Linked DNA regions of Drosophila melanogaster. The protein of the gene in region 2 interacts with the protein of the main gene of each other region in a pairwise test. Each region holds a gene or a part of one and is shown on either strand. Other genes may lie near its edges.

Evidence for each region. Proteins that work in one complex are often made in the same cells at the same time.
Region 1: the proteins of CG11327 (region 2) and CG17270 interact in a two-hybrid assay, tested with the Drosophila melanogaster proteins (one large-scale study listed by BioGRID).
Region 3: the proteins of CG11327 (region 2) and CG15282 interact in a two-hybrid assay, tested with the Drosophila melanogaster proteins (one large-scale study listed by BioGRID).

What each region holds. Positions count from the first base shown.
Region 1 is NT_033777.3:20,815,945-20,822,475, forward strand, and holds CG17270 (uncharacterized protein), read right to left. Parts: upstream 2,986-6,531; 5' UTR 2,767-2,985; coding exon 2,765-2,766; intron 1,857-2,764; coding exon 1,696-1,856; intron 1,642-1,695; coding exon 1,551-1,641; intron 1,484-1,550; coding exon 1,365-1,483; intron 1,271-1,364; coding exon 1,134-1,270; 3' UTR 501-1,133; downstream 1-500. Other genes in the region: Fancd2, read right to left, coding at 1-8, 75-149; CG17271 (uncharacterized protein), read right to left, coding at 4,249-4,499, 4,706-4,854, 5,202-5,422, 5,484-5,597, 5,657-5,767; RpS20 (ribosomal protein S20), read left to right, coding at 6,327-6,329, 6,474-6,531.
Region 2 is NT_033779.5:6,682,752-6,690,800, reverse strand, and holds CG11327 (uncharacterized protein), read left to right. Parts: upstream 1-4,088; 5' UTR 4,089-4,238; intron 4,239-4,301; 5' UTR 4,302-4,306; coding exon 4,307-5,734; 3' UTR 5,735-5,959; downstream 5,960-8,049. Other genes in the region: Tsp (thrombospondin), read left to right, coding at 1,683-2,005, 2,064-3,547, 3,604-3,737, 3,806-3,876; Nhe3 (Na[+]/H[+] hydrogen exchanger 3), read left to right, coding at 6,853-7,075, 7,931-8,049.
Region 3 is NT_033779.5:14,708,625-14,713,618, forward strand, and holds CG15282 (uncharacterized protein), read left to right. Parts: upstream 1-3,846; 5' UTR 3,847-3,962; intron 3,963-4,018; 5' UTR 4,019-4,117; coding exon 4,118-4,129; intron 4,130-4,200; coding exon 4,201-4,428; 3' UTR 4,429-4,494; downstream 4,495-4,994.

The DNA of each region.
Region 1 (6,531 bases), on a different chromosome or scaffold from region 2:
GCCAGGCGCTGAAACACAGATTTTGGTCAAGTAAATGGAGTTCCAAATTCCGACTGGTCCGAATGTCCACTTACCGGCACTTTTATGGTCGCGTTCTCATCGATGGTGTTCAGAGGTTTCTTTGAGCGTTTTTTAAATTGTTTATACATAGTACTGGAAAGCTTTATAAGCTTCAATCTTCAATCTTAAATCACAAAATAATAAAAACAAAACAATTTAATGGCGCGTATGCAGGTGCAGTGTGACCGAGCATTGACATCAGTTTTTATCGATAGCCGCGGTGGTCGAGGTTCGTGAATTCGCTAAGCGCAATAACGAATATCGTAACAATTCTTATACAAATTTTACGATTTTCAAATGATTATAAAAATTAACTAATAATTCAACTCTTATAGAAATACTTATTTTTTTTTAACATTACTAATTAAAATCTAACAAAATAAATGAAGAAACGACCTTTAGAGCACTGTGTGTAGAAGTCTAAATAAAAATCCACTTTCGTCAATTCAAATTTTTATTGAAACATAATCTACATAATTCGTACAAAACTATTATTGTATTTTCTTTTTTTTAGGTTTACATAACATTCAATCATACGTAATGACTATAAAATGTTCCTTAATTTTATGATCGATACGGAAGCATGATCCATAAATTGATAATCGTATATGTAAATAAGATGATTATGAGCTTATTTGTTAATTTAAAGCCTTTCGATTTTAATTATTTAACTCGGGTGCTAGATGTCTCTGATAATTAGATAAATATTTCCTAGTATCGATTTTCAACTCTTAAAAGTGCAAAAACTCTATTGTGCCATACATTTTTAAATGTATATAAATACGCTTTATAAAAAGGAAGTACAACATATGTATGTCTTGAAGTGATTATGCCAGAAATTGACTTATTCCGGGGCCATTTAGACCCTTCACTACCTAGTTCATAGAAAATCACTAATTTGGCGTTGTTTTCAGTATTGCTATTGAGTATATATAATGATGAACATGATGCCGATTCTATCACACCAATGCAGTCCAAAGCGAAATTTGCGATTCTTTCACAATACTGTGCTAACGGAAACTCAACTCAGTGTCTTCCGGTTATTGCTTTTCATATTTCTAGATAGTAATAAACTATTGTTTTTTCGCTCGTCGTCTCTTGAAGCCCGTCATTTGCTTGAGCAGCTGTGAGTTTTCGTCATCCAGATCCATATTTGGCTCCCAGAGCCGCAGTCGTTTGGGTATATAGATGAGGCCCAGTAGAGTTATAGCTAAAAAGGCGAAAGATTCAATTTACTAAATGGTTCGGGGTGTTACAAAAAAGATATAATTTGTTATTACTGAATTTTAGTTGTGTTTACTTACAATTTAGCACACACGGGAAGATCACGTAGAAGTTAATGGTGCTGGAGCGAAAGTAGAGTGCCTCGGTGGCATAGAAGACCATGGTGAGGGCCAATGAGCAGCCGCCCATGCTGACCACCCTAAACGTAGGGAAATATCCCCATTAGTGACGATAATCTAACCAGAGGATATATGGGATTCACTTACGGCTTGTAGTGAATGTAGAGGGTGCAGTGGACGAGAGCGATGGCCTTCAGCAGGCAGTACATCCCGATGATCCGCGATATGGTGTAGTCCCCTGTGAAAGAACCCATCAAATGCGACTCCAGCAGCTCAATCCATCCCCACTTACCCTCTATGAACTGGGTGTCGCTGTGATCGCCCAGGAAGCTGCGTCTTTCTATGTAGCTCCTAAAGGCCGTGCCCAGGTCCATGAAGGCCACGAATGCTATCCATCCCCGGAAGGCGTACAGCAATCGCTCGCGGGGTCGTCCGCCAGACTGCATGGCAGCCCTACAAGTAAATTTTCTGTGTTATTTAATATCCATTCTCCCTTTAAAGGAAAATAATTTAATCTAAGGAATGGGTTTACCAATTGGTCTAATGTCCAACACAACTTGAAGACTTTATTACACATATCAGGGTTATATATTTAGAAAATTATTTGAAATTTTGACAAAATGGTCATTATACTGCAGAAAACTTGTAATAGAATGTACAATGTAACAATTCGTCGTAAGGTTTTTTTATGCCTACTCGTATTCGTGTAACGAATGTTTTAAGATATAAGAAAAACTCATTAAGAACCTTAGCCAGAAAATATACAAATTTAGCTCAGGTCATAGTATCATTATGCTTAAAGCAGACCGACCCAGTCTAGATTATGATGATATAATAAGAGAACCAACTATGTACATATTTCGGTATTACAAAGCCATTAGAATAAACGCGATACTATTGCGTGTGCATAATGAGGTGCTTTTGTTTAAAGGCTTTTAGCACAAGCATGAACTCCAAGCGAGCAGCCGAGTCCAATGGCATCGGTGGCAACCGGCTTATCTTCCCCTGAGAATCGCATCGCACTCGGAAGTCCCAGCACATGCCACCACCCACCCCACTCCACTTCACTCCGCAGGTCTGGGCAAAATCGATATTATGGCACACTATGCTGCTGTGCTATTTGCGCAATGCAAATATGCGGAGCGTAATTCCCGGCTGCACGCGACCACGTGGAGCGCTTATGGTGGATCCACCATTAGTCCCGGTTGTTTATTTCCAAGCAACATCGCCGACTGGGTCGTCCGAGCAACGCGATTTATGGGCCCCGGACCAACCGGCTAGCCACTATCAGGCGGTTCACAATAAATGCACCACTGGCTATGTGTGTATTTGATTTCGGGAGCACTCCTCAATTCACTCACATTTTGCAAAGATTCCCGTGTTAATCAGCAGTACCGCGATCCGTCCCACCCGGCGTATGCGTAATATTTGTTTGCAGCACTGCCACTGGCACTCTTGTGTCCCTCAAAAACCTATTTTATGCAGCAGCGATTGTTTATTTCATATATGTGTATTTTCGCCGTTCAGCTGTAAACGCGACCGATTCTCGTACCGCCGCCTGCAACGCCTTGCCAGCCACTAAAAGTCTAGAATGGGAAAGTTTCGTGCGAGGACAGGCAGCTTTTATGCTTTCGGAGCTTTGGTTCTTGTTGATTGGTTCGTATCGCACCGGGAATACCTGGAAAAAGTGGTCTAAGTCCTCAATTAATATAGTATGATTATGATTAAAAAAAATATATTCACAAGTTGGCCATTACTGACTTAAAAAAAAAGTGTGGCTTGCATTTTTAGCATCATTTTATTTAGCAAAGTACAAAAGTTGTAAACTGTGTTCAATCGGAATTGCTATATGTATAGGCAACATGTATAAAAGATCAACAATTTGTCAAGTTCTATGGCTCTCTTGGGATGAAACTGGTCTAGTCTGGTCTAGTCCTTGCCAATGTTGGCCTCAGTCTTGCGGTACTCGGCCCAGTCGACAAATCCATCGTTGTTCAGGTCCATGGACTTCAGCACATAGTCAATGGTGTCCTCCAGAGCCTTGTCCGTGTACACAGATCCGGATTTGTGATCATCGGGCTGCTGCGCTTGGCCCTCGGCGTGGCCTTCCTGGTGTGCCTCGGCTGGTTTTTCTCCACTATCCTTGACTAGAAAGGTAATGTACACTTTAAGGCTCCGCTGGGCATGGTTAACTTGTTAGCTAAGCTCACCCGAAACCGGAAAATGTGTTCTAGTGTCTACAATTCTACTTGATAGAGGGATTACATGTGGTGGTCGCGTGTGATTTGAAGTTGACTTTATTCGCTAATTCGGCTTTACTTACAGAGATTTGCATGCGTCTATATAGTAGGTTTCAGTTTAAAAAGACGGGGTTTTCTTCGCTTATTTTTTTGCATAGTTTCATTTTCTTTTTGTACAAAACAAACGTTTACACAATCAGTCTGTTTTTTTTGCTGCTCTAAAGTCGCGCTTAAAAATTAGTTCATATCGAAAAGTAACTAAAATTATGACAATCGAAAACAAAACGAAACAAGGCGGCTGGAATTGCACAACCCACTCGAGAGATTCGTGAGAAATAATATTCGAAAATGCGAATCTTTTGAAAAAAGAGTTCTCAGAAGGACGTTTAGTTACAATTTGTTCAATGAAGTTCTCCGATTGGAATGCTTGCAGCATGTTAAGTAAATTTCATTCAAATTTATCTAAGAAGTGCGCTAAAATCGTCGACGAGGTCAACGTAATTTCAGGGTGTTTTGGGCAGAAACAGGAGTATGTGTTGCACGTCACAGAGCGCGGGACGAGGACATGGTTTTATGTATGTAAACTGAACGCATCTGGGTGACTACTAATGAACCGGCTGCTGCTGCTGCTGCTGTTGCTGTTCGTGCGGCTGCTGTTGTTGCTGCTGCTGCTGCTGCTGCTTCTCGGCGGCCTTTTGCTGCGCCTTAATGAACTCCGGATAGTCGATGTAGCCGTCGCGTGAGGTGTCGTCCATCTGCAGGATGGGATCAATGAGGGCCACCAGCTCCTCGTCGGAGAAAACCTTCTCCTCCACATGCGGCTTCTCACCGTTCGGCTGCTCCTTGCTGCCTTGCTCTGCATGGCAATGATTTGTTATGGCGGATGCGAGATGGATTAGCATGAGATTCGAGCATGACCACAACCATAACCGGAAACAGCCCAGTTTTATTACGCATATGCAAAGAAGTAGAACAGAATAGTGGGTCAAACAAAACGAAATACAGAAACCACAAACGCAACTCTAACCAGCGAGCCAGATTAAAAAGCAGTAGCTATCTTACCGTGCCAATGGATCAGCGATTTGATCAGCTCGCAGCCGTCCAACTTGTTGTTGTTGTCCGAGTCGTGCATCTTGAAGTAGTGGAACTGCAGCTCAGCCTCGGACATCTTGCTCGTATCGATTGGCACTTGCATGTGCTCCTGGATGTGACTGAAATTGAAAGAGTAAGGTTTGGTATTAGATCCAACTGATCGTTGATTTGGTTGAAGAAATAGATCAGCCCAGAAATATTATGTAAGTACTATGTCTAATTTACTTTTAACATGGAACTTTTGATATATAATTTCTTTAAATGCGAATGGAAACATTTGCTGTATGAAAATGTCACTATGCTTAATTTATAGACTTTTTTCCTAATTAAGCCTTAGGTTTGCGGTACAACAAAATACCTCCCTTCACTTTTATGATTTATTTATGACATTTTTACTCGTATACCCTAAAGCTCCATTGATGGATAATGATTGCCAGTGGCAGTGATAAGATAGACGGGCACTTACGCGCGCTCCTGCTGAATGTTGCCGGTGTTTAGGACTTGCTGCGGTTGCCCATGGTGGTGGCCACCTGCCTGCTGGTGGTGCCCCTGCTGCGGCTGTTGCTGTTGCTGCATCGTCGGTTGCTGGTGGATTGGTTGATGTTGCTGCTGCTGCTGCTGCACAGGAACTTGCTGATATTGGACCGGTGCCTGCTGTTGCACGGGAACTTGAACCTGTTCGTATTGCTGGAAGTCGGAGGCCTACTGGTTAATTGCTTGCCATTCGGAAATGCGCATTTGCACTCACGTATTGCTGGGGCGGCACACCGGGTGCTGAGTGGACCTGTTGCTGGTACTGCGGCTGGTGGTGCTGCGGTGGTGGCGGTGGGTGGTGCTGCGGCACCTGCTGCGGCACTTGTTGCTGCAATATGTGTGGGTTAATTCCCTCATTGGCGAATGGGGGTGCTTCAAATCACTCACATAGTGCTGCGGATTCACTCCGGGAGCGACGCGCTGTCCGCTGGCCAATCCAATCAGGATTAGGGGCAGCAGCAGCTGAACTGCTGGCAATTCCGTGACGCGCATCTGCATGGAAGTGCTGGATTCTGGCGGGGATCGGATCGGATCGGTTTGGGATCTATATCGCTTCTGGTGGCTCTGTAATCACCACGTCGCAAAGACGAAACACACACGTACACAAATCGCTTCTTCTTCGCCGGTGGACATTCGCAGCGAGCGACAGCTGATTCTCAGGTAAGTGCGGACATTCGCCACGAAACGTGTGAGCGGCATGACAACACTGCGCGCCTGGGTTAGGGGTATGCGCGTAGATAATATTATCATGCTTCAAACCGAAAAAAAAAATCATAAAAACAAACTTGATGCTTCCATTTAACAACTCAAAATTTAATCAATCTAATATGTGTACGATTTCACCGTTAGGGGTTTAGTATTAGTACCCCGCTAATATTTAGCTCAAGGAACACCCCAAATGCAGTTGGGCATAATTAGGGTGTTTTAAAGATTGAAGCTACGGTCTACCGTGGACACCCTGTAAAACTTCTCTTCGTTTTCAACCAGCAAATTGACTGGTTCAGCGCTGCTCAAAATACAAAGATTTGAATATCTCGACCAGGGAAATTGCTAAATAATGGTAAGAATGCTGTTGCCGAACAATCCGCAACTACTGCGAGTCAATAGTAGTGCTTGCATTGCCCTTGCCAACACGAAATACCGTGCACGTGCGATGGCCGTTCAACCTAACCCCACTTAATCGATGTTTCCGCCAAATCCACAGGCTGCTGCACCCAAGGATATTGAGAAGCCCCATGTCGGCGATTCTGCCTCTGTGCACC
Region 2 (8,049 bases):
TAAACATGGGCACCCAGAGGTTCTTAACAAAACGAAGAGGTAAAATGTTAATGTTAAGTTCTTAAACTGTTTGGTTTAAATTTTAACATCTTACATGATCTTTTTGGGGGCAAGAACTTTAGTAAATGAGGACTTTACACCTATGGTTGCTCCAAAATATGACATTTTAATTGATTTTAAGTTTTTTTTTTAGATTAGAGTAACTTTTTGTGTTCTTAAAACCACTTTTGATCTACAATCAGACTCTTAGAAACTTATATGCCCTACCATTTGATCGTAGCGTACTCAATTCACACGATTATTTGATTTATTAATGCCCACTTCAGTTTAATTCGACCTCTGAGGACTCGCCGAACCTTCTGATTGAATAAAAAACCCTCGAAAATTATAGAGTACCTGTAGTACCTGGGCTAATTTGGGGCTTCTCGCGAATGTGTGAAACAAGAGGGTTAATCAGAGCTCACAGATATACTGAGATTCAACGAGTTTTGGGCGTGCTGGAATGTTGGGGCCATATAAGACAAGTTGTCTAATTGATTTGCGGCAAAAGTACAAAGTGCTCGATGCTCTTCCAGTAGGTGGACTTAATTGAACGAGTCGAATGGGACACATTACACATTAAACTACCTACTTACTAATCAACAATTCTCATTTGTATCAGGCAACATTCTAGTGCCCTCGCATAATGTGCAACACTATCAGAGGCAGAGCCAGTACACCGCCCGAAAATACTCGGTCGTTACGAACTAATCCGCGGAGGAAGGGACTATTGCAACGTTTTCGGCTGAGCTATGATACACAACTAAAGCTAAACAAGTACAGAGCGTAGAAAGTGCACATATTGAATTACTACTTTATAAAATAGTCATAAGTTGTAAGCTCTCCGATTGGCGAACAGCGGAAATTCATAGTATTAGCAATTATCATTTGAAAGCAGACGCAGCTCCAGCGGAAAATCGTGAGATAATATCATTGAAAAGCTCTTGTAGAATAGATAACTAAATATGTATATGTACGTCCCAATCAAATGCCCAGAAAGTGGAGTCTATAAACGTGTAACAAAATTTGCTTGCCCCGCCTGAAATCTCCCAATTATTGTAATAAACTATGAATATTATTATAACAAAATGTACGCTGTAATTTTTGGTATTTAATAAATAAACTCCATCATTGGCCACACAAATTTTTATTTATTTACCCATCGAAATCATCCAAACCAAACCCACATGCCTTTCTATCGCATCATGTTTATACACTATCATTTTCTGGTCATACATTCAGATATATCAACGGTGAGTGGAAGTTGAACTCGAAATATCTTATAGATAATTATAAAGAATCAGCTGAATAGATATAACTTATTTCAAAGAAAAGCTATATCATTTTACCCAGTGTCCATGAATCGGCAAAGAATCGGAAAACAATATAGAAGTAGAAAGCGAAGTAGCACAAAAGCTTATATACATATAGTGTTTTTGTCAAACTTACATCGAAATTGTCATTTTTCAAACCGTTTTTTAAACAGAAAAAGTTTTCTTTGAAGAAAATGGCTCATAAAGATACTCATACATATGTGAGTGAACATGTTGGCAGCTTCGTGAATAACTCACCTGTTTCCATTCGTTTTATTGCATTGCAATCATCTTAATTCGTTTTTGCAATTACTTTTTAACTTAACGAAGGCGCCCAGTGCCTCCAGGTTGGCTATCCGCCCTACTTTCACTGCATCTCGTGTCCAATGGGCCACGAGGTGAACGGAACCAGCTGCCGGGATATGAATGAGTGCCTGCTCTACGATCCTTGCGACGAGCTGGCGACGTGCACCAATCTTAGTCCTGGCTTCCAGTGCAGCCCGTGTCCCGTTGGCTTCGATGGCACCCACGCCCATGGCTACTTCGCCGACTACTACTCCGTGGATTATCGCAGGCAAACGTGCCTGGACGTCGATGAGTGCCGCACTGGGTTCTTCCGATGCCCGGAGCATTCTACTTGCATCAACGAGATTGTGAGTACGATACAAATTTAAAAAAAAATAGTTTAAAAGTAATAGATTTCTTTCGCAGGGTTCCTACAGATGCCAATGCCACGAAGGATATGTAACAAATGGCACCTACAGCTGCCTAGACAGATCCTCGGTGTTCATGTGTCCGGATGGAACCGTTTGTGACCGCAATGCCGTGTGCCTTAGGATGGATAACATCCGCCACAAGTGTCACTGCAATGTGGGATGGGCGGGCAACGGTTTGATTTGCGGTAGGGATACCGACGTAGATGGATGGCCAGATCAGGCAATCGGTTGTCCAGAGCTGCGCTGTCAGCGAGACAACTGCCCGAAGTTGCCTAATTCAGGCCAGGAGGACGCCGATCTGGATGGACATGGCGATGGGTGCGACGACGATGCCGATGGCGACAATGTCCAGAACAGCCAAGACAACTGCTGGCTGGCCTACAACACCGAGCAGCTGGACTCGGATGGAGACAAGGTGGGCGATGTGTGCGACAACTGCGTGCTTAAGTACAATCCCAGGCAGTTGGACACGGACGAGGATGGACTGGGAGACGAGTGCGATGGTGATATCGACAACGACTCCATACCAAATGCGCTAGACAACTGTCCGCTGCTGCCGAATCCCAGTCAGTCGGACGTGGACAACGATGGTGTGGGCGACGCTTGCGATAACTGTCCGAATCTTCCGAATCCCGACCAAAAGGATCGCGACATGGACTTTGTAGGCGATGCCTGTCACAGAGACATCGACGGGGATGATGATGGAGTTCCAAACTCGCTGGACAACTGCCCAATGGTCAGTAACTCGGACCAGCTGGACACTGACGGTGATGGAACGGGCGATGAGTGCGATGACGACATGGACGGAGATGGGATACCCAACTACAAGGACAACTGTCCGCTGGCCAAGAACCCAAAGCAGGACGACTTCAATCGGAATGGCAAGGGTGACTCTTGCGAAGATGATGAGGACGTAGATGGTGTACCGAATGGCATGGACAACTGCCCGAACAACTCGATGATTCATCACACTGACTTTCGCACTCTTCAAACCATTCCACTGGATCCCAAAGGCCTATCGCAAGCGGATCCCAACTGGGTGGTACACGCCAATGGCACCGAGATAGTCCAGACCCTCAATTCGGATCCGGGACTAGCGGTGGGCAAGGACGCCTTCGGAGGCGTTGACTTCGACGGCACCTTTTATATCAACGATGACACGGACGATGACTACGCTGGCTTTGTGTTCAGCTACCAGAGCAGCTACAAGTACTACGTGGTGCAGTGGAAGAAGGGCACCCAAACCTACTGGGAGCCACGACCCTTCACCGCCTCTGCGGCGCCGGGCATCCAGATCAAGCTGGTCAACAGCACCGAGGGTCCGGGCCCAATGATGAGGAACAGCCTGTGGCACGAGGGAAACACCGACGGTGAGGCCAGGCTGCTGTGGAAGGATCCGAAGAACATTGCGTGGAAGGAAAGGACCTCCTACCGCTGGTCCCTGGTGCATCGACCGGCCATCGGCCTCATCCGCCTGCAGTGAGTGATGGCACCATGACAGGGTTCCCATGTCTTCATTCTCCTTCTACCCACAGAATGCACGAGGGTAACCGCCTGATCTTCGACTCGGGCAATGTGTTTGACTCCACGCTGAAGGGCGGTCGGCTGGGCGTGTTCTGCTTCTCACAGAGGATGATTATATGGTCCAACCTGCAGTACAAGTGCAATAGTAAGGGAAATCGAAACAAAGTGGTAACTTCAACTGAACTAAACTTTTTTCTATGCTTTTCAAAACAGATCGTGTGAAGCCGCTGATCTACAATGATCTGTCCGACTATCTCAAGACGAAGGTGGAGTTGCAGGACTGAGGGGAATCGCAATCCTCAGAGCCATTAACGTCTTTTCTGCCATCAATTCTAACCAAATTATGTATTAATGCTACCACTAAGTTAATAAATGAGTTGCCAATCCAGTTGGCCATTGGAGCCGCGTTTTCCAACACAAAAATGAACTGAATCAAGTTGGCCTGGCTGCACGTGAAATCAGGAGACATTGCCTGTCAATCCATTTAGTTCAATTGCCACAGTTAGGCGAACACACTTTCGCTAGGGAACGTTTTGATCACCGAAATAAGGGAAAACCCATGTTGAAAACATTGATATAATATTTCACGGATGTCGAACTAGTTAACCAGGTTAAATTCAGTCAGTCTTGCGTAAATTTATAAAGGGTAAGTTGGAGCACAGTGCTCTACCAAATTGTGCTGACCTCATTCATTTATGCGTCCAAATAGCCACGATGGCCAGCCGCAATGTGCAAGCAACTCCATCCCAGGAAGAGCTGAAGCGGACTGAGAACAACAAGAATGTGAAAAACTCCGAAGAATGTCAATCAATGGAAAACGATGTGGACGCGGTTGTCCCATCTTCGTCGGAGAGTGAGCTGCGGCCTCGCAGTTCGGGAGTTAGGCCCACTAAAATTCCGGCTCCACTTTTCTTGGGACCCAGTGCCAGCAGCCGGATCTACAGTTCACTGATGCCCGAGAGAAAGCGACGCTCCTCCATGGAAAGTCAACAGATGGCCGACGATTCTGGCATCAATTTGGATTGCTCCACGGACGAGCAGCAGACTACGCTGTCGGCCAGACCGAGTCCAATGCTGCAGCCGATGCTCGACAGGATTCCGGACACTAGCAGCGAGTTGGAGCTCCGACTGGCAGAGGAGCAGACTCTCAAGGAACTTCAACGCGTCGTCGCCGAAATGGAGGCTGATGTGGCTTTTAATAATTTAGATATGCAAAATCTACTGCCCGATGATATTGACCAGGATACACAGGTGCAATATGACGCCACTGATGTGGATACACAGTTGCAAAATGAAGCCTCTGATGTGGAGAATGGTGCCGAGTCTTCCGGACTAGATATGGAACAGCTGACAGGAAACGATATTCAGCAGGAAACACTTCCTGAAACACAACCCGAAGAACTTATACCAGGAAATGTACAGATGGTGGAAAAAGAAATTGCACCGAAAGGGGAATTTCCAGAAATAAAGGAAACTGCCGTGGAAATAGAATCTTTAAAGGAATTCGAAATTGTCCAGCATTTGGGCGAAGAGCCAATAGATGAACACACAGAGATCGTCCAAGAGACCCCGCAAGATCCTACAGACGTAGAATCCGAGAAATCTGTACCCGAATCGGATATGGAGGAACTCGAAACGTTAATTAATGAAAGTAGCGAGTCCGAAGAGGACAGGCTTGTTCGTGAACAATTCGAGAAATACCCTGAAACATTGGAGCCCATGTTTCATCCAACGGCGGATGAGATTGTGTGCATTGACTCGGTCCCGGAACTGGCCGACCATCCCTCACTAGATGGGTCGGTGCAAAACGGTCGCGAGATGGTTACTTTGGATGAACTATTTGATCCGGAGTACAATGTGCACCTAATGCGCCAACTTTTGCAGGCCAGAATAGAAGAGAATAGCGAAGTTGAAACAGCTCCAGACTTGATAGAAAGTGAGCAAGCGGAAGAAAGGGAGACGCTGACGGGCCCGGAGGCGGAAATCGATATGGAGGAGGAAACGGATCCGGACCTAAAACAAACTGGCAAGCCCTTGAGTTTCTTGAGGCGTCTAGTCAACCACAGAATCCTTAAGCTTAGCTATCCCATATTGTTCTGCAGCTTGGCTTTCAGTTTGGTCTATATAATTCGCAAGGAGTAGAAGTTCACTATTCTAGAAATGCAAATTGGATAATGCGAACTTGCGAGAGCATACGTTTCACTACGGTATATCTTAGGAAACACTTCAAAATCGCCCGACGCATTGGCATAGTTGGGTTGCTTTAAATATCTATTTTCCAAATAAATATCCACAATATCACGGCCGCACTGTTTGTAATTTGTATAATTTGTATGTATATTTGAATTAAAGCGCCAATTACTTAACATTCTTTTTGAAACGAGCGCTAGGTGGCGCCTTTGTCAGGTCATACTCTTGTTGGCTAGGGCAGGGTAACGGTTATCGATAACCGGAAACTGCACCTGCCCGTTTACTGTTTTCCCGGAATAATTACCGATGGAGGAACGGCGGAATTCTAAACATGGGGAATTTTTTATTTATTTTTTTTTTTTTGAATGTATAGAGGAATCGTGAAAAATAGCAATGATACGAACTTACAGATCTAACTATGTCGGTGGGACACGGAGAGACTGGTCGGCGGGACTAGTACTAGACGACGGGAAAGAAAATTAATAAATGAAAAGGCTAATTTGACGCAATTCCCGGAATAATAGTTTTTACTTGGAAAATAGTTTGGGATTATTGCAAGTTTTAGTTTTACATAACTATTATATTGAATACAAATATCTTTACTGAACCGCTCCTGTTCAAAGGCAATATTTTTTCGCGTGCTAGCGTGCGGTCACACTGCAGTCGCATACGGTTGTTTCCATATGAACGAACAAACTGTTTTTTTAGCGGAGTGCGCTGCTGTGAAATTTTGAAAGCTCTTTTTGGACCCTTTAATTTTATGTAACGGCTGTGCGGCACATTCAATATCCAAGCGAAAGGAGGTCCACACACTCCCCTGGCGCCGCCTGAGCGTGGTCGTCCTGCTCCGCGCTTCTAGCACCATCACCTCCACCACCACCCCCCCAACCCGTGAAACATAACGCGAAAATCGATTTCGGCTGCAGGCGCAGGAAGAAACTGAAGAAAGTATGTCCCACGGCGATGTGGACCCCGAGGTAGAGATGACATCGCCCCACCGTATTCATGGGGACGCAGGAAGTCACCCAAGGTCGCAGACATTCTGGAAGCTACAGTGCTGGCGGAGCAGCATGCTGCTCATAGTCGGATTTGCATTGTGCGTCCTCGCGCCTGGATGCAGCGCCACGGACACTGACATCGCTCTGGACGCCAAGGCCACGCTCAATCACCGCATCCAGAGCCTGGACCTTCTAGTCTTCGTGTTCCTGCTGGCGCTCACAGTGCTCACAATTTGGCTTTTCAAACACCATCGCGTCTCCTGGCTCCACGAGACGGGATTGGCCGTCATCTACGGTACGTTGGTAACGCGGGCAGCTTTCCCTTTTGGCCATGTTTCCCTTAGCTCGAAAGACTTGATTATCGGTCACCTGCCACATTCATTGCTACCTCTTTGTTGTCACCAATTTCGAATTACGCCTTTGTCCACGCCAACCGTGACATTACGTGCGCACATATGGGAGGCAGTAAAAGCCACCCCGGGGTAGAAGTAACATCAATATCCGTGAAAGAACCTGCACGCAACGACAGCAGAGCTAATGCATTGCGGCAAAGATATTGTATACGAGACCTTGACTTGCTTAGTCAGTCAATATCATTGGGGTTTTCCGACCGAATGTATTTTCACTGCTCGTTCATGATCGCGGCAATCTGCCGAGTACTTTGTTATTCTAACAATTTCGTTTATGTGCAGCAATAAAAGAGCAAACAAGATTTCGTTCGACTAATTGAAGCTAATGAAACAATTCAATAAAACTGGTTGGCCTGGGCGTCGACAAAGCCCAGCTCTGGTGTAAACTGGAAAAGATTATTTAGCATTCGTCCGGCAGGGCCAGTGAAAGCATTTTGTTATGCGCACCACGATTAATCATCCCCACAAATTTGTTTATCGGCGTGAACATAAAACACTGATTCCGTCTGCGAATTATGAACCTGTTGAGTGGTTGCTTAGTTGATAAGGCTTGATATGGCTTGACTAAGCATTTTTCTAAGCGGCTATTAGTCACACCCTTGCTTTGCGATAGGTCAGTCCAGAAAACAGTCATACTAGCTTTATTTCATTTAAGACCCGGTAAAATTACATTACAATTCAACTTATTTTCGATCCCAACTGCAGCAATAGCCAAAACTAATGTGTTTACCCCATTTCAGGCTTGATTGTGGGTGCAATTATACGATATGCCGGCACCTCCGCCACCCTGGTCCACATGCAGGTGGAGCCTCAGGGAGTTCCAACGTACAGCGATAAATTGCCGCCTGATACTCTTTGG
Region 3 (4,994 bases), 8.0 Mb from region 2:
TGCCATGAATGAGGTGCATTTGTATAGAACGAGATGGATTGGTATGGAAATAAACTCGAACGCTGAGGTGCGCTCATGGATGTCAATGTGATTATTATTTAAATCAAGAGGATGGTTTGGGAAATATTTGATCTAATGAGATATGATTTACTATGTGTTAATAATCTTAACTCTGATATCAGAAAATATTTTGTGACGCAAATTAGGATGTGGCAAAAAAGTATTGTTATTTGCCATTGATAAACTGTGATGATTGTGAAATGAATTATATGGGTAAGATATAAATACACTAGTGAGGTGGAGTAATGAATTATTCGAAGCTACCTTTCGCAAATCAGTTATTTAAAACAAGCTTATGATAAGGATGTTTGTACTGGAATAGATTTAACCAATAGTCCTTCATCCTTGGCAGAGTCCTTGCATTACCTGAAACTTTTCTCATTATATCTGCACCGGCACAGCAACGAACAGTGGAAACCGAAGTACTCCAACGGCAGAGCCAACTTTCTGCCCGCCCACAGCTTCAGGTTTTACCAATGACTTCCGTCATCACCGACACACTCAAAGTGTAAATTTGCATTTGCTTCTAATTACGAGCGGGTACAAGAAATTGCCCAGAACTGAGGCCGGAGAAGGCCCGCATTTGCAGCATTTGCAGCATCGGAGCATCTTGGCAACTCGGAAACTTGGCATCTGCAAATGGAGGAGCACTTGCGGCAATTGCAATTTAGAATTTCAATTATATTTATATTTTTTATGGGGTTTTAGGGTGGTGCCTAGGTGGAAAATGCCCGCACACACGGAAGTGCTGGAAAACTACAAATCAAGTGCCACGCACGCAAATTTCCTTTAATTAAAACCAAACTTTTAAGAGCCCCTCGTCTGCATCTTCTTCACGTTCCTCGGCCGCAGATGCATCTTCACTTGGTTACCCAACTGCAAACTACTCGGGATCAACTTAAGCGAATCCAAGGCGACATAATCTTCGAGTGAGGCCCAAAGTGCGGGCCGCTTTTGTTGGTCGCAGGGCGAAGGGATTAAAGGCCAAAGTTTGCTCAGGTGAAGAAATACAATTAGCGAGTAGGACGAGGACACTGTGGCACAAATGAAGTACCGAAATTCATTTTAAAATGTCTTGTCCTTATATTACAATGAAACTTACATGCTATTTTTCCCAATTTAAATTGCACGGCATTACTAATTATTCGAAATTACTGTTTAAGTCACAAATTAGCTGCAAAATAATTAAGTTGCTAAGTTTTTAATCAATTCTTACCAAGGATTAAGCAAGGTTATTGCACGACTGTAATGAACTGCATAGATAAATAAAAAGTTTTACAAGGCATAATTATTAGTATTATTAACTGGTTCATTTACGGATTTAATGCCCTTTTTTTGGGGCTCTTTTGGTTTTAATGTGCCTAAAATTAGCTGGGGTCAGGGAATGCCACTCCTGATTGGGATTATGAATATGAAGTCAAAGCCTACAAAAATCTCTTCCAAGTTTGGTTTTGTAAGTAAAATTCAGTTTTCTTCGCGTTCCAGCCGGAAGTGCACTTAGTATAAAAAAAAAAACGCGGTGAGGGCAAAAAGCGGGCCAAAAGGCAATAAAGAAAACTTCGCCGCCCTTCGAAGCGATGCGAGTGCAGTGGGAAACTTTTCTAACCCATATTAAAACATATTTGCGCAAAAATATGCAGATGCCCGCAGAGTGCAAGGAAGTTTTCACGAATATATGCAGGTTCCTGCCATATCTATATATGGACAGGTGGCGGCGGTGCGTTGGCAGTCAATTGCTCATTGACTTGGCTCAAAAATTGTTGAGTGTCGAGTTCTAAGTCCTAAGCCCCTGCTAACATGTTGGCGAAAGTTCCCGGCACCAGATACGGAAGAGCCGACATCTTCCTCTTCGGAATACCATTTCTTTCGGGCTTAGTTTCCAGTTGAGTTTACGTGAGCTTGGATTTCAAGCTGTGCGCGCACATAAGTTTGCGGCTTAAGCATGTGAAATTCATATGGATGGAAATGGAACCACCCACACGCCACCCCACATATTCAGCTCCAGGAATTTGCACCCACCTGCAGGTGGGGCATAACATTCTGACTGGGCTAATGCATTGCTAGCCACCCAAATAACCTAAGACATTGCGTCGCACGGGGGTGCCAAAGAAGTCAAGCCAAGTTACTAGTGCCAAAAGTTTAAAATTAAACGTAGTTATATCAAAAAAAAAACAGCTTGGTTGGAAACGTAGGGTACTACTGAACTATATATAACGAAGAATGTGTATCTTAAATAGTTTAAATGTTTTTTTTTTACTATTTTATTTAACCTTTCTTTCATTCGCCAATACCAACTTAACGTAAATCAAGAAACTAACGTAGTCAACAGTTTGTTGTTTACCTATCGGTGACGCAAATATTTAATTATAAATTCAGCTCGATTAAAGTTTAAAAGAGCAAAGAATGTCCCAAAAATGTTGCGTTGTAAGCAAAAGGCTAATTATGTTTATGCAAAGTGTTTTTTTTTTGAACTTATGGAACCTAATGGAATATAATTTGAACAAAATTATTGAAAATTGACGGTAATTGAAATGAATTTGAACAAATTTCAGTGCACGGCTTTGGGTGTCGTGTTGGGCCACCATCAAAGGAGTCAAAGAGCGTTGAATGTTGAATGTTGCAACTTTGACACGCGACGCAGACGTTGGCCCAGAGTGTTTTCCCCGGAGCTCTGCAATTTTAAGGGCCTAGGCCTCCCGAAAAGGGTTCATTAGACATTTTACCAAAATTACTGCACATTTCCAAAAAGCAACGGCTATATGATTAGTTTTGAAGCGGTGGTTTATTTGAAGTAGAGGGTTTACTTTGATTTAAGTTAAGTTGAGCGAGTTTGCGTTGTAAGTTACTTGAACATTAAACGGATAAAGTCACTAGTACCCACACTAAACAGCTTACTTGCCAACCGGGAAGAGGGACTTGTGGTGCCCGACTAAACACAAATTCGATGAAATAAAAATAAATTAGCTGCTTTAAATGAGCCAAATAAATTCATTTAGGGTTTTATGCGCTCCACTGAAGTATGCCAAAAGGCACCGTCTTCGTCGTCGCAGTCTTTCGCATCACCCTCTTTTCGGATGGCAGGGTTAAGAGCCAAGTTAAAGGCAACACGTATTGCCAAACTCGATTGCCGCTGGCGCCGCACACCAAATGCAATTTCACTTCACCCTCGTCGAGGTACGGTAAAATTTCCAGGGTCTCCGGTCTCCGGTCGCCAGTATTCCCCATTCGCTGCAGGTGATTCCCCATCGAGACACTTATCTATTGAGTGAGCTTGGTTCGCTTCGTTTGGACCGCTCTTGAAGTGAACGCCAACGAAATAAGAAAACAACAAAGTTTCTTTTGATTATGTCAATGGAATTTGTTTATCTCAACGAAATGTAACCGAATTGAAAAAAATATGTTTTTTTTACGCTCATTTGCATTTACTTTTGCCCGGATATAAATGTGGCAATTGGAAGGGGTGATTTGTTCAAATGTCCAGCTCAGTAAGATTCAATAATTATATATACACGTAACACATTAATGTGATTCTATGGTAAACATTAGAGTAAGGAAGCAAATTTGTTTTGAGAACCCCAGAAACAAAGGCATCATCAACAACGTCAAGTAGCATCAACAACGTCTAGTTTGGGTTCAATATATTGATTCTTGGAAACGTGCCTCTAGAAACTGAATAGCTTAGTCATAAATTCAGTAAAAATACTATTTAAATATAAATTGGCAAACTATTAAAATTCATATCAAAAGCCACGCACCTGGCGCCTGTTCCCCTAAAAAAAAATGGAAACCGGTCAATAACCACAACAAATTCAAAACCGGATTGGAAGAGAAACGCTGGTCACCTGTGAGGAAAGCCCCCACGTCTGGTCCAGTGTCTGGGACAAGTTTTTATTTCAGTGCGGGTAAAGAACCTCCGAAATTCAAACATTATATGAATTCAAAAAAATCGTATAAATAGAGAAAGACGTGACAGAAAGGGCACAGTATCGAGTGCAACATCGAAGCATCCTCATCTTCTGGGATATTAGTACAAATTGAATTCATTTTCAAATTCAATATGAAATTCTTGGTAAGTTTGGCCACCAGAGCTACACCTCGCAGGGATTAAGGACTTTATAAAAATAATAAACGGCCATTCAGGTGATCGTTTTTGTGGCCCTTATCGCCGTTGCTTCCGCGCTTCCTCAATTCGGATATGGAGGATTCGGTGGATTCGGAGGATTCGGTGGCCAACAGCAGCAGCAAGAAGGATTCGGCGGTTTCGGAGGCTTCGGAGAACAGCAACAGCAGCAGGAAAGCTTCGGTGGATTCGGCGGATTTGGAGGAATCGAGCAGCAGCAGCAGCAGCAACAAGGAGGCTTCTTCTAAGGCTGTTACTTTAGTTCCTCGACTAAAAATTAAAATAAATTATTTGAACGTATTAGTATAACAAACACAAAACAGTTTTTGTTTTTAAATACTCATTTACATGTTTTGACAATGGCTTATTGTAGGCCTTTAGATCGACAGAGATTTTATTAATGAGTAACCTTCATTTATTTCGCTTGCTTATAAATACGTTTGGGTTTATTTTTTTGGACATAAGCAACATCAAGAAAAATGAATTATTAAATTAAATTAAAAATTTGTGTTTCAACATAAAAAATTGTTTTTATTTAGCTAATCGAAAATCACTTAATGGGTTAATGACATTTTTGTGCTATAACAACATTAATTGCAAACACTTGAATAATTCGCAAATGATGTTGGCATAAAAACCAAAGGCAGATACTGACTCATGCAAAATTGTGAAATAACCAAATGTTCTGACAGCAATAATTTAACAAAAAACCTAATTTGATTAGCGAAGAGCATACGCCAAGAAGAGCTGATTGCAAACCTGTATTTTTAGTGGGCCCGTCAACCCCAGATACTTGAACGTTTTCAACAACAGA